Linked DNA regions of Pelodiscus sinensis. The main gene of each other region encodes a partner of the protein of the gene in region 2 in a complex. Links are inferred from orthologs where the notes say so. Each region holds a gene or a part of one and is shown on either strand. Other genes may lie near its edges.

Region 1 (7,949 bases), on a different chromosome or scaffold from region 2:
GTCCCGCCTCCCATGGGTCACTAAGCTGTGGAGATAATAAAGCAAGGCCTTGATGAGCCTGTCCACATTCCTTCCTCTTCCTTTTAGCTTCTTCCTCAAACTCTGTGAGAGGAACAAGACGTGTACCTCACTCACATACAGGGCAGCAAACCCTGGCCAAGAGCACCCCGTGGTGGCTAGAGAAAGGCAGAAGGCAAAGCACAGCTGGCTGACGATACTAGGTTGTAAGCCTTTTTCGCCTGTGGGCCTCCAAACTCCAGGCAACTGTGTTAGTAGGTCTCCAGACAGTGGATGCCACCAGTTTCTCCTAGTTGAGTGTTGGCCTGTCTTAACACTGCAGTGCTTGACTTTGCAACCTTAATGGTCTTCTAGCAGATTTTTCAGGATGTAATATGCTAAGTTTTTTCAACATTTAAAAGCCAATAATTTCATCCCATGGAACTGCATTGGCTTCCGTCCCCACCACCTGCTCTGTCATCAGCAGGGCTGGGATCTTTAGCTCCACAGCCCAGTCCTCCACCCCTGGAATTAATGGCAGCAGCAACAGGCAGTTGTCTTCTCTGTGGACCTGCCACCAGAGGGGGATGGAGACACCTACTTTGTCACAGGGTTTCACAGCTGTTTGCTAGACCAGAGCAGGATGCTGAAACTCTAGACTCCAGGGTTCTGTTGAACTTTCCTGTTCTGCAGAGGAGTGTGCTGGTTGCTTTCCATATTTTCTATTCTTTTGCATATTGGGATGGATAGCAGTGTGGCCAAAACGTGGCCTGTGAATGGTATATGGCAATTTTACCATTAAAATGTGGCTTGTGGAGCCTCACACGCCCAACCCCATTCTCCACCTACCAGACTTAGGGTACGTTTACACAGCAACACTATTCCAAAATAACTTAGCCTATGTCTACACAGAAGGCGGTTATTTCGAAGTAGTGTCAAAATACTGTCAAGCTACAGGACTTCTTACTCCGACTTCTGTAACCCTTATTGTACGAGGAGTAAGGGAAGTAGGAGGAAGAGTGCTCTATGGCGGAATAAGTGATGTGTAGACACTCTCTATTTCGAAATAAGATACACAATTAATGTAGCTCAATTTGCGTAGTTTATTTCGCAGTAAGCCCTGAAATGTAGATGCATCCATTGGGTGTGTCTACTCAACAATGTTATTTCGGAATAACAGCTGTTATTCCAAAATAACTATGTGAGCGTCTACACAGCAATTCCATTATTCCAACTTCTGTAAACCTCATTCTATGAAGAATAACACCTATTTTGAAATAAGGTATGTGAAGATCGGGTATGTCTACACACAATTTTTATTTCAGGAGAAGGATGCAAATAGCTCTGCGTATTTGCAAACTTCCTCCGGGTTTTTTTTCGGAAGATGCTCTTCCGGTATTTACCCATGTCTACATGCGTCCAGATTTCAAAATAAACCCCTATTTTGAAAGACCCCTGTAAAGCTCATTGTAGGAGGAATAAGGGATCTTTTGAAATAGGATTTTATTTAGAAATAGGAGTTTATTTAGAAATTTAGACACATGTAGACGCGGTTAAATACTGGAAGAACGTCTTCCAAAAAAAAGAAAAAACCCTGGAGAAAGTATGCAAATGCGCAATGCTATTTGCACCCTTCTCCCAAAATAAAAATTGTGTGTAGATATACCTGATGCTCCACTTCTGTTATTTCGAAATAGCCCCTCACCAGAGCCACTCTAAGTTATTCCTCCTAGGGCTCTAAATTGAGAGAACACGTCTATATTAGGGAAGCCTGCCTCGGACTAATTTTGAGGCTTCCCTGCAGTGTAGACATGTTATTTTGAAATAAGCTATTTTGTAATAACTATTCTGGAGTAGCTTATTCCAAAATAACTGTGCAGTGTAGACGTAGACATAGTAATTTAGTTGGAGTCGGTCCTGGTTTTGGTAGGGGGCCGGACTTGATGACCTCTTGAGGTCTCTTCCAGCCCTAGGATTCTATGAGACTGGGATGTGGGGAGCTAGGGGCTTCTGCCTTATGGGGAAAGTGGTCTTGGGCCTTCCGCTCTGCAGGAGACACCTGCTGGGGCTTCAGCAGGACTGTGGCTGAAACTGCAAGCCCTGCAGGCCTGTAGCCCCACGCACTGGCTGGCGTGTCCCACAGACACTACTAGCCCTGAGCCCCAGCTGGTGCACCCAGCTCTCACACTTCTGAAGATTTTTGTATGCAGCTAAGAGGTCAGTAAGTTTGGCCAACCCTGTTATATAGCTAGTGAACTGCTATCTCCTTCTCTATTTGGTTTGTTATATTTTCTCTGAATGGCTCATAGCCTGGCCATCCATGGCATGTGCGTGTTTCCCAGATTAAGCTGCTTTCCCCTTTTGTTATATAACCACATCCCTACCAGCCAGCTGAGGGTCCCATGGTTAAGAAGAATGCGGGCTGATTGGGTGGAAGGGAGGCCATCTGCTCAGGAGTGCAAGGCAAATTGGCTGGAAGGAGTCTGTAATGATCTGTGTGTGCTTGCATTTATGCTGTTCTGCCACTAGATGTCTCTGTGGATTGCATAAAGTTCCAGGCAGGGGGTGATCCCTGAAAACCAAGGAGACAAAGCTGGGACTCAAGCTGTGCGGAAGCCTGGTTGTCCTATAGTTGTAACTGACTTGTTTAATAATGTCACCTGTTTAAGATGGACTGATACTCCATATGGTATGAAACCAGCCAAGGAGGCCCTTCAATCCCACAGTGACAGGCAAAATATAAGAACGTAACTGGGACACATAGATCTTCCTTTAGGGAGGGGTTGTCAAACTGTGGGTCAGGATCACATTTTAATGGGGCTGACAAGGCTGGCTTAGACTGGCTGGGCCCCACGGCTGAAGCAGAAGCCCTTAGGCTTTGGCTCCCCATGTGGAGTGGTGAGACTTGGGCAAGCTCAGGCTTTCATCTCTGCTCTGGGGGTTGTGCAGTAATTTTTGTTGTTAGAAGGAGGTTGCAGTGCAATGAAGTTTGAGAGCCCCTAGTGTAGGGGAAAGGAGATGAATAGGACTTTTCAGGCTGGGGCACCTCTTCTTCCTCCATCAAGGGCTGTGCCTGCTGGTCCCCTACTTGTATATCTGAACATATATGGCTACATCTACACAGCTTCCCTCTTCTGCAAAAGCCTATGCAAATGAATCGCAGATTAGCATATTGCTGTGCTTCATTTGCATAATTAATTAGGAGCCGTTTTTGCAGAAGAGGTTTTTGCGCAAGAGCCGTTCTTCCTCATTTTTTCAAGAAGAATGGCTCTTGCACAAGAGGGGGGTTTTGTGCAAAAAGGTGCTGTGTACATGGTGCCTTTTTGTGCAAAAACAGTGCCTAATTAATTATGCAAATGAAGAGGGGCAATATGCTAATCTATGCTTCATTTGCATAAGCTTTTGCAGAAGAGGGAAGCTGTATAGATGTAGCCTGTGTGTTGTTTCTTCACAGCACCAATCTGGGCAGGAGTGGAGAGCGGGGAAAGGTCTTCTAGAGGCAGAAGCCATGCAGAGGGAGAAGCAGAGTAGCAGCAGAGATAATGCTGCTTTCCTGATTCTAAGAAAGTTCCTTGTTCAGCTGTCTCTGAGTTTATTGCTCACACCTGACACCAGGAAGGCTGGGAGGCCCTGCAACAAATCAGTCAGGAGCCCACTCCTCTTCTGCACTCATAGCAGATTGCCCTGCCTAGGGAGTGCTCACTGCACCTGCCTGAAAGAAAGGGGGCTCTGGGGAAGCCGGAATGCAAAGGGGACCCCTCCCTTTGCAAAGATGAGTGAGTGTTGTCCCCTCCTTCTCCTCCTTAATGTAACCCCTGACTGGAAGCAGCACAGCACCCCCTGCTGCTCAAAGGGGGACAGAAGGTGTAGAAAAAATTGCTTAGGTCATCAGGACATGAAACTGGTTTTTAAACTGCAGGTGCATTAGGGCTGCCAGGTGTCTGGTTTGCAGCTGGGATGTATAGTTGAGAAGGGAACCTGGCAGCGTGCCGTCCGCAACTGGCCTCCACCACGGGAGAGGGGATATGGAAAAAGCAGCAGCTGCAGCCGGAGGCACATGGAGGCGCTGCTCTCTGCTCAGTAGCTGATGCCTGATAGAGAGCAGTGGCAGGCTTCCAGATCTGGCTCCAAGAAGTAGAGGAGGATCCGGTCTGCTCACCCCTCCCTCCCCCAACTGTTACTTGCATAAAATGTGGTCAGCCTCACACTCTAGGGACACCCACTCTTCTCTGTTTCTATGGCTCAAGAATTACCTTCCACTATAGGCACCCACCCTCAGCCTTCCATGGGCTCCGGCATAACCTAACACTCTGTGGGTTCGCAGGGTCTTTTATCCATGGAAGAGCCTCACACAGTACTATCCTATTTAACAGTCCTACAGTAAGACAGATCAACTTTTCCTGTTGGCCAAGCAGGATCAGGTCCGAAGCTCCCCCTAAGCAGCGCAGCTGTGCACTTTCTCGTTAAGCCCCACTCATATCCCACTATTTTAATGTAATTTGGGCGGAATGAGGATGCGACTTCCTGCGTCTTAGTTAATGGCTGCTGCTCTTTCCATCTGGCTGCAGATGAGGGCTGTAGGCTTTAGGCCTTACAACATGGCTACAGAAAAAGGCCTTGTTCTTACATTTACACTGCCCTGCTGTGCCCTCATTGCCCTGGCCCCTCACTATGGGGATGATCCCTGCTGAGCCCCAGGCAGGCTGCATTTTAGCTTCTCCCAATCTCACTCTGCGAGCAGCAGGTAAGTCCCAGAAGAGGTGGGACTGGGGTGGGGAGTGGAGAGTGAGTGGTAGAGGGAGGCGGAAGAGCAGTGAGCAGGGGCGGGGTCTCAGGAAGAGGAGGGGCGGGGCTTTAGGGAAAGAGGTGGGGCAAGCAATTAAAAAGTCGGCAGTCTTAACACTAGCACAGGCCCCGCCTTTTTTTAGCTGTAGCCTGAACTACTGGGTGGAGGGGGGACTGACGTGGAGGGTTAAGTAACATTCTATCTATCTTCCACTTCCTCCCTCCTCACAATCTGCTGCTTCCTTCACGCTAGGTTTGACATTACATTTGTACAGGTCTTTCCTCTGGTCACCTGAGAGCATTAAGTCTGCCTGACTTCTCCTGCCCCAGGAGCCATCCTCCTCCGTGAGGCCTGAGAAATGCAGGCCATCAAGTGTGTGGTGGTGGGAGATGGGTATGTACCTTCTTTTGTGGTGGAGGGGGGCAAGAAGGGGGAAGGTTGGTTCTTAGTGAAATGTCACCTTCTTTGCTTTCGATTTCCTCTGAACGGCTTTCCCTTTTTCTGTCAGGTAGGGTGTATGGGGGGAGGGGAGGGGGCAGCCTGTGATGGAGGTTGTGCATTATGTCGGGGTTGGGGAAGGGCACTTTTCAGAGCAGGTGGAAAAGAGCCGCTGAAAGACAACCTATGTGGCTATTCTCCCCTAGATGAAGGTGCCCCCTTTACAGTGTCTCCTCCTCTGCGGCTATTGATGGTGGAAGGGGAGCCAGGTTTAAAATAAGGTGGGGGAGACTAGTTTCCCTTCTACTGGGCCACACCACACATGACTGGGGAGGGCACCGACACATGGTGGCAGTGGTGAATGGAGAGCGCTGTGGGTCCCCTCCTGTGGATCTGAGTTCCCATGCCTTCTCTAAGGGGGGGGGGGGTCCAAGGGGGCACTCCGGGGAATTTCCATGGATACAGCAGCAAGATGTTCCTTTCCCTTTTGCCGCTGAGGGGCACAATGTGCTCCGTCTGCCTGGGCTGTGCGAGGCGATGAAACCCAGGCAGCTGAGCATAGCATAATCACCTGATTTATCCACTGCTTGGGCAGCATGTATGTGGCCTTGCCAAGGCCTTCAAGAGCAGCAGCTTCCTCAGGGCAGTACCCAGAGGGCTGCTGCCCCTGGGCAGGGAAACAAGCATCCAGGGCCCAGGAGAGTGTCTGTGAGACCGGAGTCACGTCTGGCGCTCAGAGTGAAGCCAGTTTCAGGCGGGGAGCTGTTTTGATGATGTTATCTGGGGCAGATGAAGTGACATTGTTAGAGGCCCTGCACCCCACAGTCACTTCCTCCTTCCCACTGGCCACAGGAGGAAGTTTGCAGACAAGTGATTAAATTTTAGAAACCACCTCGGAGGCGGAGGCAGGGGCAGGCAGCAAGGGTGGAGGAAGGGCAGAGAACTACAGTACAAAGAAAACCCCAAACAAATATTGCTATGGGTCAGGAAAGTACCATAAAGATCAGAAACTAAGGATTATGGAGCTGTACCTGAAACAACTCGCACAGGAAACACCCTGGGACTAACCCCACAACTGCCCCCACCTCCTGTCCCTTAACCCTGCTAACCTCCAACACAACAGCAGTATTCTTCCCCAAAGCTCTACCAGCCCAGAGCCCCCTCCAAAACTGCTATCCCCATAAACTCACCATAGCTCAATGGCTGTATCCCCGTAATCAGTCCCCAGCACAATCACCCGTAACTCTCCTTCAGAACTGCTAATTCCATCACTTCCTCCACTACTGGCACTCTGCTAACCTCAGAGCCTCCCCCACACCTCTGCTTTCCCTCCCCTCTGGAGAGCCTCACTGGCCCTATAAACCTCCCATCCCTTTCTGCTGAGAGGCTGGAGCCAGGCATACAGTGATGGAGAGTGTGGGAGAGATTGAGGAAAGGGAGAAGAGAAAGGTAGCAAAAGTAGAAAGGAGGAAATGTACGGGAGAGGCACAAGAGGCACTCCAATTCCTCCTGAGTCTGCACAATGCAGCAATGGGGGCTGTAACCCTGTGACTCATGCCTGCTCTCTCTTGCCCTCCAGGCCACCTTGCAGGGGCAAACACTAGGGCTGGGTAGAAAGTCTTAGAAAGATTTTGTCGATGAAATTGGCATATGCTAAGCAGTGACTCACGTATCCTGTGTGGAGAGAGCAAGCCAGCCTTCCTCCCTTACCTAATAACCAGATCTGATTTCTCATCAGCTTCTTGCAGGACTTCATGGTGCTGCCTCCCACCAGATCAGTATTGTTATCTCCATTTTACTGATGGGGAAACAGAGGCAGGATAAGATTGAATGACTTGCCCTACATCCCTTTAGCTTTCCTTGTTTGTCTTGGCTGTGATTCCTGGTCCTCTCTTTTTTCCTTCATAGTTGGTTCCCTGGCTCTCCACTATATATGGTTGGAAACTTTTCCATGAAACTTTTTTTTTTTTGGACAGAAAATGTCAATGCATTGAGATGGTGTCTCGGGTCCACAATGAAATTTCTGGAGAACATGCCTTGGAGCACTCAGTTTGACTGTGGGGGACACAGGTTTAAATCCCTGCTCTCCTGGCATTTCTTTGTAGTGCCTTTGGCCTGGTCTCTCACACACTAGTTAGTGTCTTCTTCTCGTGATTAGAATGTGTTCCTGTTCTGCCCACCATGGTCCACTGAAAGCTGGGTGGTGGTGGTGCTAGTCACTTCGGAGTGTTTGTCTGCACAGCAAAGAAAAACCTGCTTGCTGTGGGGCTGTTTCATTGCTGTTTAGATAGCTGGAGCCCAGGCTCTGGATTCTGCCACTCTGAAGGATTGTAGAGTCTGGCTCCAGCCTAAGCCCGGAAGCCTACCTAGCAATGAAACAGCCCGACTCAGTGAGCCTGGCATGGGCCAACCACAGGTGTCTAGTTGCTGTGGTGACATACCCTGACATACAGGAAGTCAGAGTAGATGATCTGGTGGCTTTTCTGACCTTAAACCTTATGACTCTGTGAGATGTGCAGAGAAGGAGGGTGAAGAGAACTTTGACTGTCAGGAGCAGCCTCACTGCAGGCAGCCTGGCTCGGAAGTGCCATTTCAGCTGGAAGGAGTGTGTGGTGACTATGAGGCTATGTCTACGCTGCTGGCTTTTGCCGGCAGAGGGTATGCTAATGAAGCGCTCATTAGCAGTGGTTGCACTGTCATTTGCATATTCTCTGCCGATGCTTTTTGC
Region 2 (8,000 bases):
ACTAATTAGGCGCCAATCACTAATTAGGCAGCTCCCCAGCTGGCACGGGTAAGGGTTCCAAGTGCTACGACCGCGCCTGCCTCGGGCCACAGGTCGGATGCTACGTGATGGATGGAGGAGCCTTCTCACCAGACAGCCTGGTCCATCCATGCCTTGCGTCTGGCCAAAAGCCGCTGGCGTTGGGACAGGTTCCCAGACCTGCCGGACCCACCCCGATCCAGGCGGGCGATTGCTAACGCTTGGGCACGGGCATAGGACTTGCCAGCAGCTGCGCGTTTTGCTTACAGCGTTGCACATTCCCGTTTATAAACCGGCCATTTGCGGGTTTGCGCTTCCGGCAGGTGCTGGCCTGTTTCTCCCCAGCTCCCTCGCTCTGCGCGCGTCCCCATTGCAGAGCTGGCAGGAGAGCCAGGGTAGGTCCACCCTGCAATGGGGGAGCGTCCCACAGTGGGCGGCGGTGGCTAGCTTAGAGGGAGCCAGCTCAGTGAAAATAGCAGCGTGGCCGCAGCATGAGGGAGGTGCCGCAGAATGTACCGGGGGGGCTAGCGCATGGCACCCCCTTGTTGTTCAGACACACTGCTATGGCCAGACGACACGCCTGCCGTTCCGCCCGCCGCCAATAGCCCAGAGCCATCCAAGCCAGCAGGAGTTTTGCCAACGACTTCAGTAGGCCCCGAATTTCACGCCCAAGGGACAGTATTTCGGGCTACCAGTCTGAACCCTCACTGCCAGCAAGGGGGCCAGGCTGAGGGTGGATTCGGAGACGACCAGCTGTCCATAGGAACTAGGCCGCAATGCAGCGATGGGCCACCCAGGCTAGCGAGCCAGCCGCACAAGCAGCATCCGCCATCTCAGGGCGCTGCAAGATGTTGCACCCAACCCAGTGTCCCGGGCGAGGGCGGTTTTACTCCCTGCGCTGGCGTACCTAAAACGTGTGGGCGGTGCCGACTGAACCGTAGCGGCGCTGTGATTGGACGCAGAGGGAGCGCACAGCCAATCAGCGCACACCTCACTTCACACCTCCTTGCTTTACATGCGCGTCACTTTAGTAATACAGGTGGAACCTCCCTAGTCCCAACCAGAGAATACAGGTGCCGAACCAGAGAGTCTGCCAGGAGGTCAGTATTGTCTGGCAGCATGACCAGCCCTGCCACTGCTTGCTGGGCTCTGAGAAGACACTGAGGGGTAAATCAGAGCTAAATCACAGCACAGCCCAACTTTATGGGACCGCGGGAAACTTGGCCACACCCACGATAAGTGGACAACTAAAGTCATGCCGGACCACGGATGCTGCTGGACCAGAGAGCGCCAGACTAAAGAAGTAGAAAAAAACAACTGTGGATGGAAAACCAGTGGAATCTGGCAACCCTGCGCACAGGCATGGGTAACAAAAGGTCTCACGGGCCACACCTAGAACTCCGGCAGACTCCAGGTTGCCCCCTGTCACCATGTCACCCGGTGGTGACAGTCACCTGACGGTACCAACGCCCAGTCACAAGCAGCAAAAGGCTCCCTTCCTGCCATCTCATTCCTCTCTTCCCGCCAGCCCCGCCCCCGCAACACCCACTGTGTCCTGATTCCAGCGTCGGCGAGTCCCAGCGACACAACCGGCTACAATCGAGAGATTTTCCTCGCTGGATGCCAGCTAAAGCAAAGTTTGCAACCAGGTCATGGCTGGGGCGGGGGAGAGGGACCTGCATGTCACAAATCCATGGGGGATCCTAGCTCCTTCTCTGGAAGAAGAGACGCCTGCACAAACTCTTCCCAGCGGCAGAGCTGTGGGTCAAGCGGAGGCCTGGCTCCCTGTTGCAGAGTCGCTATGTCCCTGGGGGAGGCCGCGTGGACGCTGTCAGCCCTGTGTGCGGATATTTATTTCCCTTCCTGCACGATCCTAGTTGCAAGCGCTTTAGACGGGGGTAACGGCCTTCGCACGGGGGGCGGCACGGTACAAAGCAGCACAGCTCCCTGGTGTGAACAGGGCCCCGTGCACTCCGGTGTCGCTACAGAAGCGAAGCTGGTGGCGCAAGCAGCGAACCCACCCTGCGGTGGGAGTTTTCGTGGCCCTGTTATTACCAGATGCTATCAGGCCAATGGCAGCGCCTCCTTAAGCAAGAGGCCTCAGAGAAAAACAGCCCCGCTGTTTCCTTCCCCATTTCAGTCTTTCACTTCCTCAACCCTGGCCCAACCACTGCCCGAATGGCCAGCGCTGCCCTGCGGCCCCTGCTGCCCAGGCCCCCCGGGCGGGGGGTGGGGAGTCTTCAGCGAGGATCTTGCAATTTGGGACCTGTGAGGGGTGGGCTTTGCTCAGACCCCACGACCCAGAGAGGAGCCTTCCCTTGGCCCCCCAGTGCCAATGATCCTGGGACAGGCAGGCAGCCACTTCCAACCTCCTCTTGAGCCCTGCACCCCCCTCCCCAGCGCCTACCAGGCCAGCCCTCGTCCACCAGCACCCCCCTGCTCCCCCCTCCCCCAGCTCCCCTCCCTCCTCCTCAGCTCCCCTCCCTACCCCCTACCCCTGCTCCCCTCCCTACCCCCAGGTCCCCTTCCTCCTCCTCAGCTCCCCTTTCTACCCCCCTCCCCCAGCTCCCCTTCCTAGCCTCCTGCTCCCCCCTCCTCCTCAGCTCCCCTTCCTACCCCCAGCTCCCCTCCCTCCTCCTCAGCTCCCCTTCCTACCCCCTTGCTCCCCCTCCCCCAGCTCCCCTTCCTACCCCCTGCTCCCCCTCCCCCAGCTCCCCTTCCTATCCTCCTGCTCCCCCCTCCCCCAGCTCCCCTCCCTACCCCCCTTCCTCCTCAGCTCCCCTCCCTACCCTCTCCCCCTGCTCCCCTTCCTTCTTCCCCGCCCCACTCACTGAGCCCGGACGCCAGCGCCTGCTCGTTAGCCCACATGGCCCACTCGATGCGCCCCATGGCTGCGCTCTGGCTGCACCAGCGGCAGCCCGGGGACCCACTGCGCCCCGGCCCGGCCCGGCCCCGCTGCTGGCCCCGCCCTGGGGCAGCGGGCCGCCCAGCGGCGGGCGGGGCTCTCGGGGCCGGGCCGGGGAGCCGCACACGGAACCTCCCTCCCCCGGCGGCAGCGGGCCCGGGGCGCCGCCGGCTCCGCCGCCCGCCCCCTCCCCCTCCCCGCCGGCGGGGGCAGCGCTCAGCCGGCACGCGGGGAAACTGAGGCACGGGAGCGCAGCGGCCTCCGGCTGCCAGCCAGGAGCCGGGGTCAGGGAGGCTCCTTCCTCTGCAGCTGCAGGGCTGGGTCAGGCGGGTGCTTGGCTGGGCTGCTTCTCAGCGGCTTCCCGCCCTGCCGAGGACCCTGCGCAGGGTCAGGCAGGAACACCGTGGGCAGGGGTCAGTGCCAGGCTTATGGTGTCACCCCTCCGCTGTAGGACACTTGTGGGGTGCTGAGCGGAGGGGGGGGGTCCCTTCTGCTACGAAAATGCTAAGCCTGGATGAGCCACGGGGACTCTTGGCATCAGTGGTAGGGCTGGGAACAGGATCCTGGAGTGGCAGGGCCTTGCTCTCAACAAGGTTAAAGCTGGGGAAACTGAGGCACCGAGCCATCAGGACCTGTCCCCAGTCGCACAGCATGGCAGGGGCAGAGCGGGGGTGGTGGGTAGCATAGGCAAGGGAAGGCAAACGGACTATGCTCCCCACTGGGGCCAAGCCTGGCAACCCCAGTCCTCTGGCTGGCCAGGAACGATCCCGCTCAGCCGTGCGGTTGGGCTGGGCTGCACGGAGCGGTGGGGGGAGGAAGGCTGCTGAAAGGGCAGGGACTTGCCTTCCCGAGCTGGGCCTTCGCCCGCCACCCCTGCTAAGGCAGGGCTACCAAAGAGGGTGGAGAACAAGAGGACGGCGGCCGTGTGCCAGCAGCAGAGCCCGGCCCTGTGGGGGCAGCAGGCTCCCCGGCCCAACCTGGCCTGAAATGCTTTCCCCCTGCCTGGGGCTTGGCAACCGCAGCTGAAGGGGTGACAGCTGCCATCAGTTGGTGAGGAAATCAATCAGTTTCCTCACCTCACCGCTGTGGGTTCTTGGCCTGCAGCAGGCTGCACCCATCTCCCCTCCCCCTAGGGCCCAGTGCACCCTTTGCCTTATCCCCCAAACAGCTTCCTGCCTCCTCCCTTCCGAGCTCCCCCACTTTCCTCCTGGTCCAGCAAGCTCTCCCCCACCTAGGCCTGCAAACCGGGGCCCACCCCTTAGCTCAGCGGCCACCAACCAGTACAGCGGGACCTACTGATGGAGCTTGGCGCCTCTGACAGGTTTGGCCAAGAGATTGTCGAGCTCAGCACTTCAGCTCCCTCCCCCGCCACCCCCAAGCCTGTGGCACAGCTGCTCTTTGCTTTGCAGCTTCCTACCTGCACCCCCGAGAGCCTCCTGCTTTCTATGCAGGGCAGCGGAGGGAGAAGAGGGGTGCTGATGTCAAGTTGCCCCCTCTCCGACCCTGTATCCTGTCTCCACAGAGCAGAGAGGGGCACTACAGGGTTTGGGATGGAGGGAGTTTGCTGGCTACCTTTGGGAGGGGTGCAGGGCCAGGGCAGGGATGACCCTGCCTTAGCCCCACTGCACCACTGCCCAGGAGCCACCTGTGGTAAGCCCACACCCTGAAACTCTACTCCAGTCATGAACCCCCTCCTGCACCCTAAGCTCCTGCCCTGGCCCGGAGCACCCTTGCACGCCCAGAGCCTGCCCCTAGAACCCCCTTCGGCACCCTAATTGCCTGCCCCAGCCTGATGAAAGTGAAGGGGGGGGGGGGATGGAGTAGGGGCGGGGCTTCAGAGAAGGGGCATAAAGGAGGCGGGGCCAGAGTGGTTGGTAGACCTTGAGTTGCACTTACATTTCATAAGTGATCTCTTGCTTTAAGAGGTTGGAGACCCCTGCCTTAGGCTTTTCCTCCAACCCAAGAGGGGGCTGGACCCCCATCTCACACCTTACCCCCATGGCTCCCCATCCCTCCTGAACGGGCAGCACTATTGCCATAGTAACCTTCCCTCTGGCACTTCCCCCAGACTGGGGCTTTCAGGATCAAACCAGGCCCTAGTGGGAACAGCTGGGTGGGAAGGGACTGCAGCAGCCAAGACATTAAATGAGCTCTAGGCTTAAAAAAATACTCAGCCAACCAGGCAGCCTGTAGCCACACTCACCCTGAGTAAGCAAGCACTGGCAACAGCCCAGCTACCACCAGTGTGTCCCACCAGAGAGAAGCTGCTATTCAGGTGCAAGTAACTGCAGGATGGTTGGGTGGGACATCAGGAAAAGATGCTGCATAAAGCCACTCGCACTGCTGGATACTACAGGCCTTCCATTTCACATGCACTAGGGGCTGGATTTGCACTAGCGATCACACCTCTGAAATGCAGCTGCCTCTGGGGCGGAACACTGCAGCTGTTGCACAGCACCACCCTTCCAATAGGAAGAGGGAGGTACTTTAATTGGGGAAGTGACAAATCACTCCGCACCATGGAGCTGCATATGGGAATGGGAGGTAGGCAAAGAATATCTGGAATTTGCCGAACACCTGGGGGCTTGACTCCTGATGTTTGCTGAAGTAACTCCCCAGTCCTATGTGCATGGTTAGTGCCGGTCATGGGATGCAGGAATTTCACCTGCCTCATTCCAGCCTCTTCAGGAACGACACCCTCTTCCCAGCCCCTACCTGTGGGGGTTGTGCGGCCCTGTAGCAAATCAGAGGGAAGTAGGGCAGGATGTAATGTCACAAACGACCAGACGCGTGTCGGTCCAGAGAGTTCCATTCATGGGCATTTACACTTCAAACCAATCAGGAAGCTGGGCTTTTCAAACAGACTGCTAGTGCTGGATTTTTAAAAACCAGAGTAGCAGGGGGGAGGAGAGAAGAGACAGGAATGCAGCGCCAGCTGGGTAAGGGACAGGTAAGAAAGAGCCTTTCATCTCTAGGTCAGCCCACATCAGGCCACCCCAGGCAAGCCAAGGGCCGCCAGCATCATGGAGCTGTTCCCAGCCAATGCTGGCGAGTCGCAGTCCTCTTCCTAGCAGAGACGTCGCCTCATAGCGCCTGCCCTCCTCGGTTGGCAGACCAGAGCCGGGAGAGGCCCTGGCCCGTGGGCAAAGGCACTGTGGGTAGCGCTGGAGGCTGGCACTGGCCCAGCTGCATACATTCTGCGAGGGGGCTTTGGTCAGCCCATTACTCTTCCCCCACAATCCCCAACTCCCCATGGCCAAGCCCCGAACGCCTCTCGTGCGTGCCAGCCACGGAACCAGCGTAGCCCCGGCCCAGGTTCCCCGCTCCCAGAAGCGTCTCGTTCCACGTCTGCCGGGCGGCTGCTCAGGCACTGGGACGGGGAAGCCCATCCGCTCCCAGCAGATGCAGGCCGGGATCATCCAGCAGCTGAGGACCTGGGCCTGGCTGTGGAGGAATAAAGCCAGTTAGAGGGAAGAGGGCTGTTAGGACCCCAGCGCTAGTGCTGTGAGTACAGCAGAGGCTGCAGCCAGCACTAAACAGCTGACCAAGTGCCTTGTGCATGGGGAAATTGAGACACCCTCTGAGCATCCTGCTGTCCAAGGGAGGGCAGGTCAAGGGTCTGCCCCTGGGCACCAGCCTGCCCCTGCTCCCCAGCCCTCCTCTCTGGCTGTAACCCCGGGGTGCCCAGGGACAGCTTGCATCACACAAGCTTGGAAGCACTGCGAAGAGAGGAAAGTGATGAGGAACAGGCAAGAGGTGGCTGGAAAGCTGGCAAGCTTGTCGGACCCAGCGGGTAATGACCAATGGCTCGATGTCAGATTGGCGGTCGGTTTCTAGCGGAGTGCCCCAAGGATCTGTTCTAGGTCTGCTTTTGTTCAACATCTGCATTAATGACCTGGAGGAGGGGATGCATTGCACCCTCAGCATGTTTGCAGGTGATACTAAGCTGGGGGAGAGGTAGAGACACTGGAGGGCAGAGATGAGGGCCACAGTGTCCTACACACATTGGAGGCTTAGGCCAAAAGAAATCTGATGAGGTTGAACAAGGACAAGTGTAGAGTCCTGCACTTGGGACGGAAGAATCCCAAGCCTTGTTACAGGCTGGGGACCGACTGGCTAAGTAGCAGTTCAGCCGAAAAGGACCTGGGGTTACAGTGGATGAGAAGCTGGAGATGAGTCAACAGGGCGCCCTTGTAGCCAAGAAGGCTAATGGCATATTGGGGTGCATTAGTAGGAGCATTGACAGCAGATCCACAGAAGCGATTATTCCCCTTTATTCTGTACTGGTGAGGCCACATCTGGAGTATTGTGTCCAGTTCTGGGCCCCCCACTATAGAAAGGATGTGGATGCACTGGAGAGGGTCCAGCGGAGGGCAACCAAAATAATAAGGGGGCTGGAGCACATGACCTAAGAGGAGAGGCTGAGGGATTTGGGTTTGTTCAGTCTGCAGGAGAGAAGCATGAGGGGGGATTTGAGAGCAGCCTGCAATGCCCGGAAGGGGGTTCCAAAGAGGCTGGAGAGAGGCTGTTCTCAGTGGGGGCAGAACAAGGAGCAATGGGCTCAAGTTGCAATGGGGGAGTCTAGGTTGGAGATTAGGAAAAACTCTTTCCCTAGGCGGGTGGGGAAGCGCTGGGCTGGGTTCCCTAGGGAGGGGCTGGAATCTCCACCCCTAGAGGTGTTTAAGTCCCAGCTGGACACAGCCCCGGCTGGGCTGATGGAGCTGGGGTTGGTCCTGCTTTGGGCAGGGGGCTGGCGCCAATGCTGCCTGAGGTCTCCTCCAGCCCTGGGCTTCCTTCTCACACCAGCCCCGGCCAAACCCACAGCTGGGAGCCGCCTGCAGGCCCTGGTTCCACCGAGCTGCTGCGCAAGGGGACCTCTGGCCGCTCTGCGGAGAAAGAGGAAGCCGGGGCTGGTACGGGGCGGGGCCGGCTGCCGGGAAGACCCGTGAGCAGTGTTCAGACAGCACGGGGCCAGGCCAAAGCGGGGCGCTCTCCCTGGACACGGGGCTCTTGGCCTCACTAGGGGCCAGCCTTAAAACGGCATCTGCAGTGGGGGAGGGAAGCCCCAAGCCCTCCC
Region 3 (7,345 bases), on a different chromosome or scaffold from region 2:
TTCATGTTAAAATTCGACACTCTCCAAAAAGGAATGAACAAACACTCGAACTATCTTACCCATTACCAAGATAGCTTCCCCAATTATCACCTCTAATACCATTAACTCACAAACATCCCACTCTCCCCACCTCTAATATCATCAATTCACAGACACTTACCTTCCTTCCTTCTTCCCCCCCCCCCCCCCCGCATCTCCCTCCTGTTCTGAAATGTGATTTGTCCTTTTCATGTGTGTTCATTTTTTTAAATTGTATCCTTTGGTATATATGGTTGTGACTATTTTCTTCCACTATTTGATCTGAGGAAGTGGGTCTGGCCCACGAAAGCTCATCACCTAATAAACCATCTTGTTAGTCTTTAAAGTGCTACATTGTCCTGCATTTTGCTTCTCCTACACTCCTGTGAGTCTACGATCATCCCTAGCAGATAAAACTCATGGCACACAAAGCGCTTAGCGGAAGGTTTCAGTGTCACTGCTCTGCATCCCTCCCCCCTTACCAGTCTGAAAGGTAAAACTACTCAGCTATTGTGTATTGCACTGTGTACACAGAAAACAGCTGCATTCTAGCCCCAGAAGTGGCTGCATTTCAGGAAGGCCACTGTAGCCTACGCTGTCTCACAGGGGTGCTGTGAAGGCTAGGCTACGTCTACACTGGCATGATTTTCTGAAAATGCTTTTAACCGAAAAGTTTTCCGTTAAAAGCATTTTCGGAAAAGCACGTCTAGATTGGCAGGACGCTTTTCCGCAAAAGCACTTTTTGCGGAAAAGCGTCCGTGCCAATCTAGACGCGGTTTTCCGCAAAAAAGCCCCGATCGCCATTTTCGCGATCGGGGCTTTTTTGCAGAAAACAATACTATGCTGTCTACACTGGCCCTTTTGCGCAAAAGTCTTTCGGAAAAAGACTTTTGCCCGAACGGGAGCAACATAGTATTTCCGGAAAAGCACTGATGATTTTACAGGAGATCGTCAGTGCTTTTGCGGAAATTCAAGCGGCCAGTGTAGACAGCTGGCAAGTTTTTCCGCAAAATCGTGTGATTTTGCGGAAAAACTTGCCAGTCTAGACACAGCCCCAGTGTTTGTAGTGGATTTTAGGAAGCAAGATGTTAGCAAATGGAAGTGCCAGGTTTTCTTGAAGTTTACCACCTCATAGAATGAAACAATTACATCAAATCAATTATGTCAAGCAGGTACCACGAGGAAGACACCCGCTCCAGCACTGAAAGTCGAGATGAATACCTACCTGCTGGGGTTGGTCGTTTGCTTAGTTTTTGTTTTAATAGAGGGAAAATGGATGCACTAGGCCAGGCATGGCCAACCCGCAGCTCGCGAGCTGCATGCAGCTCTTCCCCCCCGAAAGTGCTGCTCACGAAGCCGCCCCTGCACCCCTGAAAATGGCCCCCGGCTCCCTGTGCTCTCTGGAGAAGGAAGCCATCGTTCCCTGTGCTCTCTGGATCAGGGGAGCCGTCCAGCATGGCCATTCAAAATGGCATCTTCAAGATGGCGGTGGCCAGTGGGAGCCTTTAAATGCGTTTCTTAAGGGGGCAGTCCTTTTTTTTTCCCCCCAACAACTTGGGGGGAGGGGTGTGGAGGGACTTCTTTTTTTTTTCTTTTCCTCAACTATTTTGCCCTGGCTCTTCGCGCTGTATCCACTGCTATTTTGGCTCTTTGTCCGGAATGGGTTGGCCACCCCTGCATGTACTGTACCTTTCAGATGCTCTCACCTTTCTGTCAGCTGATGTGGCATAAGAAAAGCTGCTGCTCTCATGGATAAAGCTCTGGTCCTTTGGAACGAAAGGTCTTTGTCTCTCGTATTGATTTTATTTCTATTACCGTGGCAGCCAGCAGCGCCAGCTGAGCGCAGGGCCCCAGGCACTAGCAGAGCTAACCACCTACACAAACTGACGGGAGGGGAAGCTGGCAGACAGAAGTGAGGTGAAGCAACTTGACCAGCGTCACAGGGCCCAATAACAAGCTGCTTTGCATGGCGAGCCAGAAGATGGAAGGAACAGTCAGGAGGAAGTAAGCAGCAGCTTCGCTGCCGCTGAGCATTTAAATGTCTATTTTAAACACATTTTAAATGACTCCTGCACAAAAGGCGACCACGGGCCCCACAGAGAAGAGTTTCCACACTCACACGGAGTTTGTTTTCCCACCCCGTTCCTTCGATGCCTCTTCACCCGTGCAAAGGCGCTTTTCCGGAAGCAGGAGATCATAGTCCCCAAGCTGTGCCTGAGTAGATGCTGATGGTGCTGAGCTTGTTACCTAAGAGCCAGAGAGAGAGAGAGAGAGCTTGAGATGCTCTGTATTGTATTTCTGATTACAAATGAGTCACCGTTTCTCAGGAATACAGATTCCCCCGCCACCCACGCAAAAGCAGAAATCAGACAAAAGAATTTCTGACAGGTTTATCCAGGGCTGCATGAGAGTTACTTAGGATGTAGCCACGGTGCTGGAGTTTTAACAACAGTTGCGTTCCCCGATCTCACACTATTTTAGGAAGGAAGGTGAATATAAATATCCCTATTTTAAACATGGGGAAACTCAGGCAGAAAGGGGCAGTCATTTGCCCAAGAATACAGGGCTCCAGTGCCAAGGAAAGTAAGTGGCAGATCTGGGAACAGAGCACAGGTTGCTGGACACCCAGGTTAATATTCTCTGCACTGGTCTGTGCTGCCTCCTGTCAGGTCAATTTAGTGCTCGGAAAAAGGGTCAAATTCACAGCTTTTGAGGACCAAAATCCTCTGCAGGCTGGTTCTTATCTTGTGATGGAAACTGTAGGCCCAAACAGAGCTGGGCCCTGAGCCAGGAAGAATGCAAGGCACAGAAAAGAGAGGAAACGGTTCTTCTCACAGAGAAAGGAGTTGCCGGAGGTTGAACAAAGCCCTCAAAAGATCCAGCCTGTGCTGCTCGTGACAGATAGGGTGGCCAGGTGCACGGTTTTGAACCGGACAGTCTGGTATTTGAGGGTTCTGTCCAGGAAACAAATTGAGAAAATACCGGACGTATAAACTGTCTGGTATTTTCTAATTCGGTACGTTTGATTATTATTAGGCGTATCAGTGTGTAGTTGAGAACTGCCTGGCTGTAGACACGTTCACGCTGCGTGAGTATGTCTACCAGCCAGGCAGTACGAAACTACACGAGGGGGGCGCGGGGCCAGGACGGGAGGGAATCCCCGGGGCCAGACTTGCTCGTACTTCACCGGGACCATGCGCGGGATGGGCAGCGCCCTGGGATCTGCGTGCAACCGGATCAGTCCCGCTCCCTGCTGGCCAATTCTCTCCCCACACTTCCTCCCCGGCCAGCCCCACTCTCCCCACTCCCCTCCCAGCCAGCCCTGCTGGTCCGCCCCTCCTCTGATCTCCCCTGCTTCCCGCCGGCTGGTTCTCCCCCCAATCCTCCTGCACTCCCCTGGCCAGCTCCACTCTCCCTGACCCCCTCCCGGCCAGCCCTACTTCCTCCCCTCTCCGGTCTCCCCCGGCCAGCCCCACTGCCCCCAACCCCGCCAGCCCTGCTTCCCGCTGGCTGGTTCTCCACCTCCTCCCAGCCAGCCTCACTCCCCTCCTGGCCGGTCCCCCTCCCCAATCTGAGATGAAGTGTGTCCGGTATTTTTTTTGGAAGCCACCTGGTAACCCTAGTGACAGAACAAGTGCACTTGAAGCACAGGCCAAAGGAGCGATGGAGTCATGATACTGTGAAAAACCAGCATTAAAGCAGGACAAGAGCAGGAGTTTTAGCATTTTCATTTCTGGGGAGAAGCTGTTGCAGGCTGAGTTCAGCCAAAGTGACAGGCCTGGTCCCACAATTGCTGCAAACACACCTTGGCATTTCAGCCTTGTTTTAAGTCACCTCAGCCTGCTAGATGGGTTGCACTTCCCCTCCCACACCTGGAGGGCAGTGAAGAGGATGCACCCAGCACCAGAGGGCGGCTAGGTGCTGCCCTGGGGAAGCCGTGGGGACATTTCAGGCTGCCTTTCAAGGGGCCCTGGCATTGATGCTCCGATTCCTCCAGGCTGCATTGTCAGTGCGCTGTGACTCAGCCACGACTTCAGGGTCACACTCACTATGACAAGCACAACCCCCCAAGTCACAACCACCCTCTGACAGATGTGCATGACTTCAGCTGAAGATCCCTGCAAAGCAAAGTCGAAAGCAGTGGGGGCGGCCGTGGCGAGGGGGAGAGTGTGTGTGTGTGTGGGGGGGGGGGGGGTAGTTAGAGTGACACACCAAGAATACGTTTAGGAAATAATTCACCCTGGCCAGCATCTGCTCCACTTCCCCATCACAGCAGGGCTGAGTCAGTAACTACCAGTGGGGACACTTCCTGGTTGGTTTGCGACACTGCGGGCTCCGGGGGAAACACAGAAGTACAAGTAAGAGCGGTGCAGAGGGGCAGGGGCAGGGGCAGGCTGTAGAGAGCAAAGCAGGGCTGCAGCAAGGGGAGGCCCGTCCTGACCCCATTGCTGCACCATGGCTCTGGCGGAGACCATCCGACTGTGGAACGAGGGAGTGTGCGCGGCTGACCGGAAGGACTGGGCAGCCGCGCAGGGTGCTTTCACCACAGTGCAGAACCCCCCTTCCAAACTCTGCTTTAACATTGGCTGCATCCACCTGACCCTGGGGAATTTGACTGAGGCAGAGGAGGTAAGAACCCCCCCTCCCTACCCACACACACACACACACACACACACACACTCCTCCTGTCACAGGCCCCTTCCACAGGCTGGTCTGACTGGTGCACCACAAAGCCCAGACGGCAGCTACCGCGCCCCTGACACGCCGAGGGACTGAGGCGGGTGGCTGGCCCCTGGGACGACTTGCAGACAAGCAGGTGCAGCCCCTGGCTTGTGCTGTCGCCTGACGGGCAGCAGGGCCCTCGGCACGACCCCGAGGGGCTGGCGGCAAACTGGCCAGACCGTGTGCAGCGCGGGCGGGGGGGTGCAGGAGAGGGGGCATTCAGTGCCCATTCAGCTACTGCTGGCCTGAGAGTGCATGGGCCTGGTTAGGAAGAGAGGGAGCCGACAATGCCTCCATTTGCCCAGTTCATGCCTTCCGCTCGGCTCAAATTCAGCTGACACATGGGACCCAGCAAGAGCCGGGCAGAAAATGGTTTTCTTGATTCAGAGCAGGGACTTGCTCCCAGCTGTCCAGGCCCCAGCGAGTGCCTTGGGCACCAGGCTATTGGCTGCCCTAGAGCAATGGGGGGTCGGGGAGAGAAATTCCAACGTGGGCCTAGGCGGCCTTTCCAGTTTCCCACTCAGCTCTAGTCTCCACTTGGGGCATCAGAAACACTGGTCAGGGGAAACCCAGCAGGCATGTAACGGAGGGGCAGGCAGGATGTGTGGGGGGGTTCCCCTTGTCTCCCCTCTCTCCATGTTCCCCTTTCTTCTTCACGCTGCCCTCGTGGCTCCCCTCAGCACTGGGAGGGTCTCCCCTCAGCACGTTCCACTGCTCTGCATGGGCACAGGCTCCACCCTGACCTCCCCGTCAGTGTCCAGGTCTCCTCCTGCCTCTCTCGGCCAGTCTGCCTGTGCCAGGTCTGAACCACCTTCTGCTCTCTGCAGGCGTTTTCCAGGAGCATTCACTGCGACAAGCACTTGGCCGTGGCCTATTTCCAGCGGGGGACCGTGTATTACAGGAGAGAAAAGTGAGTGTTTGGCAATCTCCGGTGGGAGGGGGGGGGGGGGTGTCGTGCTGCTTCTAGACAGAGCCATTTCTGGTTCCCGGCTGGCTGAGAGCAGCCATTTGGCAAGGCCGTCCTGTTGTGCTGCCAAAGCTGAGTAACTAGAGCTAGGACTCACCTCCCAAGAGAAGCAGGTTCTCTTAGAGGCGGAGGCCTAGTGGGTGGCGAGTGGGGATGGGAACCTGGGGAATACCCCAGTGCCTTTAAAGACACCCCCAAAAACAAAGACGATGAGCTGGCTAAAGCCTGCAGGGCAGGGCCTGTCTGGCACATTGTACAGCCGCCTAGCGCAGCGACGATGCTGCTCACCCTGGTTGTGGGTTTGGAAAGAGCCTGGATGGAAGGGAGAGGGGGACAGACTTCCAAGCTGGCAAGCAGGCTGGCAAACCGCCATGGACACAGTCACACCAAAAATATCTGACAGCTGAGTCCCTCGAGGCAGAGAACCACTCCAGCTGGCCCCAGGAGTTGGGTAATGGTAAACGGCCATCAGTACTCCACGGGCTGGCGGGGGTCGTCTCCCAGCAACTCAGGCTAGAGCCGGGCTCTGAGGGCGTGAAAGATGGCAGGCAGCCCAGAGCCGTGCCCTGAGAGTTTGCACCTTTCTTTGCTCTACAGCTACAAACTGGCCATTGAGGACTTCAAAGAGGCACTGGCCCAGCTGCGAGGGAACCAGCTGATAGACTACAAGATCCTGGGGCTGCAGTTCCGGCTGTTTGCTTGTGAGGTGAGGGCGTGCAGGGGCTGAGAGTCCCTGAGACAAGCAAGGGCAGCTGGGAAGCGCAGGAGGGGAGGGAATGGGGTTGGAAGCTAACCCAGCATCACTCAGCCAGTGGGTGCCACACACAAGGGGTCACCAGGGGACACAAAGCACAGTGGTAGTGAAAGCAGCAGAATCCCAGGACTCTAGGTACCCATCCCCCATGGGTGGTTGGCAGGTCAAAAAGGGGTTGAGAGAGCCCCTCGCGATAGCCAGTGAGGGCTGGCTGTGGGCACTCAGATCTGGGGAGAGAAGCGGAAGAGCTCTCTGCGGCCTGGTCTTTTCTCTCTCTCAGTCCGGGACGGGTCCCACCACCACCATGAGCCTCCCCCGAGACATCAGCCTCTGTACCCAGATTAGTAGGGGCCTACCAAAATCATGGCTGGGAAACATTCATCATGGGCCATGAAATCTGATCTCCCTCGTGAAATCTGGCTCTGTAGGGGGGACCCCAGAGCTGGGCAGTTGGAGAGCAGCAGCTGCTGATCAATAGCCACAGCCATCCAATCCACAGGACAGTTCGGGATGACCACCCCAGCCCCAAGCTTTGGCCCACAGTGGTTACCCCAACTGTCCTATGGATGGGATGGTCCCCCACATGGACACTAGCCTGAAGGTGGCCTAGGGCGAGCAACAGGGGTCAAGCCCCCCCCCCCCACTCGCGGAAGTGGGGCGATGCAGCCAACAGCCTGCTCTGCTCCATCTCCATCTTGCAGCCATGTGGGTCACTTCACCACGGCGGCAGGAAGCAGAGCCCCCCGCCTGCTCCCCCAGAAGCCCTGTGTCGCTTGAGGGAGCGGGCAGAGGCTGGGGCGCGCTGCTTCCTGCTCCACAGAAGAGCGGAGCAACCTGGCGGGGAGGTGGTGGTGGAGCAGAGCCGGCTGCTGGTTGCGTTGCTC
Region 4 (7,778 bases), on a different chromosome or scaffold from region 2:
CTGGAGACGGTCCCCAGCAGACCAGGGGCACTGCGAGCAAAGCCGCAGCGGCGGCGGGTCCCGTGCCAGAGCAAAGCCTCAGAGGCGCGGCACCCCGCTGCGGCTTTGCTCCCCGTGTCCCTGGTCTGCTGGGGGGGGGGGCGCAGCTAGTGTGCCCCCCCCCCCCCCCCCAGCAGACCAGGCTTTTGTTGTGGACCCTGGGGCAGAGCAGCTGGGGCGCTGCCGGTTGGTCCCGCAGTGCCGCTCTGGGCACTACTGGACCAACCCGGCAGCACCCCAGCTGCTCTGCCCCAGGCGTCCTGATTCAGCCGCTGCTGGTCAGTTTCAGCAGCGGCTGAATCCGGACGCCTGGGGCAGAGCAGCTGGGGTGCTGCTGGGTTGCTCCAGTAGCGCCGAGGAACGGCGCTACTGGAGCAACCCAGCAGCACCCCAGCTGCTCTGCCCCAGGTGTCCCCAAGTCAGCCGTTGCTGAAACTGACCAGCAGCGGCTGAATCAGCAGCTGATCAGTTTCAGCAGCAGCTGACTTGGGGTTCTTAAGCTGAATCTGTATGTAAGTCAGAACTGGCGGTCAGTTTCAGCAGCGGCTGAATCTGGACGCCAGTTCCGACTTACATACAGATTCAACTTAAGAACAAACCTACAGTCCCTATCTTGTATGTAACCCGGGGACTGCCTGTATTTCAAAATACAGGCTGTCTTTGATATAAGTCCAAGATATATTCCAAAAAACTTGGACTTATAAATAACTTAAAACGGATTTTTTTCCCCTATGGCTGACTTACATTTGCAGAAAAAAAATGTACGCGACTTAAGAGCAGGGAATTGGAGGACTTATAATGCATCAGTTCCTACAAGTGTCAATGACTTTAGTGCAGAACAAATGTATACTGGAGCAACTTACAGTGGAGATGCCTTGTAACTACAGGCAGTCCCCGGGTTACGTACAAGATAGGGACTGTAGGTTTGTTCTTAAGTTGAATTTGTATGTAAGTCGGAACTGGCGTCCAGATTCAGCCGCTGTTGAAACTGACCAGCAGCGGCTGAACTGGACATGCCTGGGGCAGAGCAGCTGGGGTGCTGCTGGGTTGGTCCCACAGCGCCGCTGCTCGGCGCTACTGGACCAAACCGGCAGCACCCCAGCTGCTCTATCCCAGGCGTCGGCGAGTAAAGCCTGGTCTGCTGGGGGTGGGGTGCACTAGCTGCGCCCCCCCCCCAGCAGACCAGGGAGACGCGGGGTGGCTTTTCTCGCCGCGGAGGACGTGGGCGGCGGGACCACAGTGCGTCTCGGCGGTCCCGTCACCCACGTCCTCCGTGGCAAGAAAAGCCGCTCTGCATCTTCCTGGTCCGCTGGGGGGGGGGGGCGCTAGCTCCGCGTCTCCCTGGTCTGCTGGGGGGAAGCGCCCCCCGCGCCGCCAGAGGCGGCGACAGTGGGGGAGGCACCCCGCACTAGCGCGGCCCCCCCCGGTTTGTAACTAGGGGTCCGACGTAAGTTGGACCGACGTAACCCGAGGACTGCCTGTATTCCCCAGAATAATTCAAAGTTATTACCCCCCAGTGCTTCTAAGTTGAGGTAGCATGTCCACAATAATGGAGCCTGCCTCAGACTAATTTTGAGGCTCCCCCACAGCAAGGATGTGCTATTTTGACTTTGTTATTTTGGGAATTATTACTTTGAATTTAGTTATTTCAAAATAATTTCCTAGTGTAGACATGCCCTTAATGGCCTGGTCAGTGCTGCTGACCGGAGCCACCAGGATCCCTTTTTTACTGTTGTTCCAGTTGAAAATCAGATACATGGCAACTCTACTTCCTTTAGCCTGTTATCTGATCCTGAGGTTTGGAGCATATTGTCAGTCTCTGGGTGTGTCTAGACTACATGCCTCTGCCGACAGAGGCATGTAAATTAGACATACCAACATAGTCAATGAAGCAGGGATTTAAATAGCCCCCACTTCATTAGAATAAAAATGGCCACCTGCTCAGCTGTTTGTCGGCACAAAGCAGCAGTCTAGACGGGGTTGGTTGGCAAAGGCTTTCCTTGCTGACCGATCCCCGTCTTGACTGCCGCTTTGTGCCGACAAACAGCTGAGCTGGCACAACGCGGTGGCCATTTTTATTCTAATGAAGCGGGGGATATTTAAATCCCCACTTCATTGACTATGTCAGTATGTTTAATTTATAGGCATGTAGTCTAGTCATACCCTGTGAATCTAACCCTTCAGTCTGTCCCCTTGGCCCATCGCTCACTTTTCTGATCCTCAGGACAAAAAACTTGTCTAAAAAGACCAGTATAAATTTACAGCACTGTATTATTTATTTCTATGTTTGAAAATCTTGTTTGTATTTTATAAAACATAGAATTGCAAGAATAAAGTAAATAACAGGGGTATAGAGATAGTACAGTTTGTTAACAATCCCTAAAGTACCTAAAGGAATATATATATAAAAAAACAACTGTAAGCAACTGCCTTGTACAGTATTCATAGGATACTTAGCTTAAGGGAGAAATTCAGCTATAATTTCAAATGCATCACTTTACAAATACATGTTAAAAAGATGGAATGGATCTGTGGTTTTCTATTATATATGGAAACCATCCAAAACTGAATTATTATTTTAATATCTTAAGTTATATATATGTCTAAAACTTTTCTGGTATAAATATTTGAATACACAGTTAAATAATTTAACTATTTATAGAGGTATTTATAGATGTAAGGCACATTGAAAAGAAGATGTGGTTAAAGATGTGGTTTCGGTTGCCTTCTAACAGGACATGAGAACATCGTATTTTAATTTTATATATATATATATATATATATATATATGTTTTAAAAATTATATTTTAAATAGAGAGGTGAGGTAAAATATTTTTAAATACATAAATAAATAAATAAATTAAATTAAATTAAATTATAATGGCTATACTAGGTCAGCTCACTGTCCATCTAGCCCCATATCCTGTCTTCCACCATTGGCTAATGCCAGGTGCCCCAGAGGGAATGAACAGAACAGGTAGTCATCAAATGATTCATCCACTCTCACCCATTCCCAGCTTCTGGCAAACAGAGGTTAGGGACACTATCCCTGCCCATCTTGGATAATAGCCATTGATGGACCTATCCTCCATGAATTTATCTATCTCTTTTTTGAACTCTGTTATAGTCTTGGCCTTCACAAAATCCTCTGGCAAAGAGTTCCACAGGTTGACTGAATGGTGTGTGAAGTACTTCCTTTTGTTTTAAAACAACAAGAAGTCCTGTGGTACCTTAGAGACTAACAAATAAGTTATATCATGAGCTTTCGTGGTTGTCATGACATAATATATTTGTTAATCTCTAAGTTGCCACAGGACTGCTTGCTGTTTTTAAAGATTAACACAGTTACTCCTCTGAGACATTTTTCCTTTTCTTCAGACTCGCTACCTATTCATTTCATTTGGTGACCTTTAGCTTTTGTATTATGGGATGGAATAAATAACTCTTTTAATTCACTTTTTCCACACCAGTCATATTTTATAGATCATGTCCCTCCTCCCCCCATCATCTCTTTTTCAAGCTGAAAAGTCCCAGTCTTATTAATCACTCTTTCATATGGCAGCTGTTCCATGCCCCTAATAATTTTTGTTGCCCTTGTCTGAACTGAACTTGTAACAGATGTTTAAAAGGAGAAAAAGGTAATGTGATAAGGTCTCTGGTGCTGACTTTGTGGCTTTATGTTGTAGTATGACACGTCCATGTCACACCCTAATGTCACCAGGTTGCATTTTGTTCCTGAGGTACCAATGAGATATCTTGAGGCTCAGTGTTAAAGGGACTCCCCGAGGGCCTCCCTGACAGGTAGGCACCATGGTGACTTATAGCCCTACATCAGGCTATGACACCATCTCTCGACAGCCCGAGGGAAGCGGGATTAGGGTTTGAGTGGGATGGCCTCACGCTGAGGTACGACGCCCTGCCTCTGACGTGGTGACTTTAGCAGGACCCCGTGTCACAGGACGGATTGATACCAATGGTCACACTAAGTCTCCCTCTGCCCATAAGGAGGCTGAGACTTAGGAGGAGAGGCTGAGGGAGTCGGGTCTGTTTAGTCTGCAGAAGAGAAGAGTGAGGGGGGATTTGATAGCAGCCTTCAACTTCCTGAAGGGAGGTTCCAAAGAGGCTGGAGAAAGGCTGTTCACAGTAACGGATGCAGAATGGAGCAATGGTCTCAAGTTGCAGTGGGAGAGGTCCAGGTTAGATATTAGGAAAAACTGTTTCACTAGGAGGGTGGTGAAACACTGGAATGGGTTCCCTAGGGAAGTGGTGGAGTCTCCATCCCTAGAGGTGTTTACGTCTCGGCTTGACAAAGCCCTGGCCGGGTTGATTGAGTCGGGATTGGTCCTGCCTTGGGCAGGGGGCTGGACTGATGCCCCCCTGAGGTCTCTTCCAGCCCTATGGTTCTATGATTCTATAAGGACAAGAACAGGAGCGAGAGGCCAGTTCATCACCCCCTCCCCCCCCCCCCAGGTTCCCGGACTAGGTTAGTAGCACAAGTATGGACACCCCCCAGCCTGAGGTAACGGACACGGAGCCGAGCCCCTTTCACGTCCGAACAGTGCCGAAGATGACCGAAGCCAAGCCCAGCCCGCTGTGAGTCACGTGTTGCCGAACGTTAACGAAGTCGCGGCTGTCGCGGGGAACGAGAGCCCGAGCTTTTCCGAACGGCTCCGAAGCCGCCTGGCCGGCCGGGCGGGGCAGTTGGGGGGGGGCTGAGCACAGCGAGGCCGGATGTGAGCGGGGCGGTCGCTTCCTGTTTCCCTGCAGCACTCCGCTCTCCCCGCTTTGGGTGGTGGCCGCTGCCTCGTCCCCGCTTCCAGGCGCTGAGGGCGGAGGCGGCCAGACGCTGGTGCAGACACGCGGGCCCCTCGCCTCACGGACCTTCCCAGCCAGGTAGAAGCAGGAGGCGCGGAGACCCGGCCCCGCAGCAGCCCCGATGCAGGCCATCAAGTGTGTGGTGGTGGGAGACGGGTAAGTTCGGCCGGCTGCTGCTTCTCCCCGGGTGGGACCCGACCACACCCGCCTTCCCGCTCCGCGAGGGGCTGCCCCAGTTTCTCTGAAGTCCCCTCGCATCCAGTGGCCGGGGCGGGCCTCTCGTCTGGGCTCCGTCCCCCGCCGTCCGTGGGTGGCCGGATGGGCCTCTCTCTTCTCCCCGGGGATATGTTCCCCTTCCTCCGTGGGGTGTCGGGGCGGGCCTCTCTTCCCCCGGGGTATGTTCTCACTTTCCTCGGGTGGCCGAAGCGGGCCTCCCCAGGCGTCCGTCCCCCGCGTGGGGTGGCTGGGCGGGACACTCCCTCTCTCTCTCTCCCTGGGTGGCCCGGCTCCACTATTGTTTCTCCCCCCGTCACACACAGAAAACAAACTTTTCACCCACAGCTACAACACCATTCCTCAGGGCTCCCTGTTGGGGACGGGCAGCGCGTATAGGGTCCTCTGAAGTAGGCGCTGTTATAAATAACTGCAACAAATGGATTAATCCCCACCCTGGTACTGGAGGACATTGATATTAAGTGCTTCTCCCATCCCCAATTGTGTGAGAGTGTGGGTGGGGTGCTCTGCCGGAGTGTAGGCAGCAGCAAGTTATTTCAGGGCTGTGGAGCCATGTGGTGAGATTTGTATTGCAGTTGCTGTAGAAGCAGAGCCACCAGGGAAGGGGATCTGTGGAGGGTTGGTGGTTCTTCTATTCCTATTGGCAAATGGGGAGCGGTGGAAGAAATGGGTACGGCGATGGCTTCGTTATTGCTAAGAAACATAAGGGTGTTGGTGATTGGTGGATGCCCTAGAGCTCTTGTTTTATGTGGTGAATGGACAGGTATCTCAAATGTGGATGGTAAGTGATGACTTGTTGCTTAGTTTTCATGCTTACAAAACTAGTGTCTTTCTGTGTACATGAGGATATGTACTCCTTTTATATGCTGGCAAAGAGATAGTTAACTTCCCCAAGTTATTGTAGCTATCCACTTTGCTGACTGGTTCAAAACTGCAATTGGTTTAGTAGTGGACACAATTGTTTCCCCTGATACCTAATTATATTTGTGATGTTTAATTCAAACAGTTCTTTCCTACTTTGAAGTTATATAGTAAAGGTACTGTTGAAGTAACTGAACATAAAACTTACCCTTTTATCTCTCTCCTTTAGAAAGACTTCATTAGAGTAGTGATAAACATGGGTAGGGTTAGTCGGTGTTTTGATAGATCTGTGTCTTTATTGTTAAAGATTAAAATGTAGATTACAAATTCAGTGTAAATTGCCATCTCTGCAGGGCAAGGACTGTATCTTACTATGTTAGTAAAGTAGGAGCCTGTAGGTATTTATTCTAATGCAAAAACCTCTCAAACTGTCATGTTTTAATCGTCTGTAAAGAACTATGTGCATCTCTAGTGCTTTTGCATTCCCTGCTATAATTGAAGTAACTTTTAGTTATTTGTAATGGAATTGAGCCTGAGTTTATGCATAACTGCTGGATTCCTTTGTAAAGAACATGTTAGAAGGCGTGTGTGTGTTTAGGTACTTTGATATTTTAGTACTCCATGATAAAATAGGCTTAGTAAAGGGAAGCTCTTCCCCCTATTTTGGAATATTTTTTTCTTACTAGGTATCAGAGCTCTCAGAGCATCACAGGCCAGCTGGAAAACAAGACTCGTTTTATGCAGTTTCATTTTTTTTCCTTGGGAAACAAACATTCCAGTGTAATCTAAGCATAATTGGGCATCACAGCAACCCAGTGTAGATAGATTGAGGAGTGTAAGTACAGCTAGAAGAAATCACCGTCAGCCCCATGTAATTTAGTGTTGTTTTCATCATATTACTTTGCAATGAATAGTCTTCATTAATATTTAATTATTTGTTAAACTTATTTTAAACAATGTTGAATTTCAAAATTCATGTGAGATACCTGGCTTGCTCTTACTGCTTATGGTACGCAAGAATGATGTTCTGACAGACTTTATTAGTGCTGCAATTAATTGATGCTGGCTTTCACTTATCTTAAATTGCTATAATGAAAGAGTAAAATAACTTTAATTTTTAAATTAACATCTTAGTTCTTTGCCTATATTTACTTTATTAAAATGAATATCTTGTCTGCATTAAATGTTCTGAAAGAATGAAGTCTGTCTGGTTTCAAAATAAGAATAAGATAAATTCATGAAGGATTGGTCTATAAATTGCTTAGCCAAGATGGTCAGTGTGCAACTGCATTTTGCATACCTTTTTTCTGGGTTTTTTTTGGGGGGGGGGAGAGAGGCTTTTCCAAAATTTGGCCTGTTTACACTGGGCCAAATTTCAGAAAATCCCCCTTTTTCAGAAGATCCCTTCTTCGTCCTAAAATGAGGAAGAGAGGGCTCCCAAAAGATCGTGTTTGCTCTTCTGCAAAAAAAAAATAAAAAAATAAAAAAAAATGAAGGCGCGAATGCGTTCTCTGGATGTAGCAGAAGTATCCTGGAAAAACCCCGCAGTCTAGATGTACCCTCACCCTACCACTGCCAGAAGACAGGAATGTATCACTCCAGAACTTCTCCATTCCGTACATGCTTTCTGAAGCTCTGGTCCTGGCCACTGTTGGAGGTAGGATACAAGTCTAGATGGACCATTGGTCTGATCAAGTACATCAGCTATTATGTTGTTGTTTTTAGAGGAAACAGGTGTAACAAACTATACACACATTCTTCGTAATAATTTACACACTAACCATAACAATACTTTCAAAATTTGTGGTTTTGTATAAGAGGTCATTTAT

The links.
Region 1: CYBA (region 2) and RAC2 share a complex: the UniProt entries of both Homo sapiens proteins name them as parts of the phagocyte NADPH oxidase complex. The link is inferred for Pelodiscus sinensis from reciprocal best matches to the Homo sapiens genes CYBA and RAC2.
Region 3: CYBA (region 2) and NCF2 share a complex: the UniProt entries of both Homo sapiens proteins name them as parts of the phagocyte NADPH oxidase complex. The link is inferred for Pelodiscus sinensis from reciprocal best matches to the Homo sapiens genes CYBA and NCF2.
Region 4: CYBA (region 2) and RAC1 share a complex: the UniProt entries of both Homo sapiens proteins name them as parts of the phagocyte NADPH oxidase complex. The link is inferred for Pelodiscus sinensis from reciprocal best matches to the Homo sapiens genes CYBA and RAC1.

What each region holds. Positions count from the first base shown.
Region 1 is NC_134711.1:92,837,727-92,845,675, forward strand, and holds the start of RAC2 (ras-related C3 botulinum toxin substrate 2), read left to right. Parts: upstream 1-4,941; 5' UTR 4,942-5,141; coding exon 5,142-5,176; intron 5,177-7,949. UniProt on the Homo sapiens protein: Plasma membrane-associated small GTPase which cycles between an active GTP-bound and inactive GDP-bound state.
Region 2 is NC_134722.1:3,823,934-3,831,933, reverse strand, and holds the start of CYBA (cytochrome b-245 light chain), read right to left. Parts: upstream 3,011-8,000; 5' UTR 2,908-3,010; coding exon 2,850-2,907; intron 1-2,849. Other genes in the region: MVD (diphosphomevalonate decarboxylase), read right to left, coding at 6,287-6,367. UniProt on the Homo sapiens protein: Subunit of NADPH oxidase complexes that is required for the NADPH oxidase activity that generates, in various cell types, superoxide from molecular oxygen utilizing NADPH as an electron donor.
Region 3 is NC_134719.1:57,237,608-57,244,952, forward strand, and holds the start of NCF2 (neutrophil cytosol factor 2), read left to right. Parts: upstream 1-4,343; 5' UTR 4,344-4,473; coding exon 4,474-4,647; intron 4,648-5,567; coding exon 5,568-5,650; intron 5,651-6,304; coding exon 6,305-6,413; intron 6,414-7,345. UniProt on the Homo sapiens protein: Subunit of the phagocyte NADPH oxidase complex that mediates the transfer of electrons from cytosolic NADPH to O2 to produce the superoxide anion (O2(-)).
Region 4 is NC_134726.1:23,058,032-23,065,809, reverse strand, and holds the start of RAC1 (ras-related C3 botulinum toxin substrate 1), read left to right. Parts: upstream 1-4,768; 5' UTR 4,769-4,975; coding exon 4,976-5,010; intron 5,011-7,778. UniProt on the Homo sapiens protein: Plasma membrane-associated small GTPase which cycles between active GTP-bound and inactive GDP-bound states.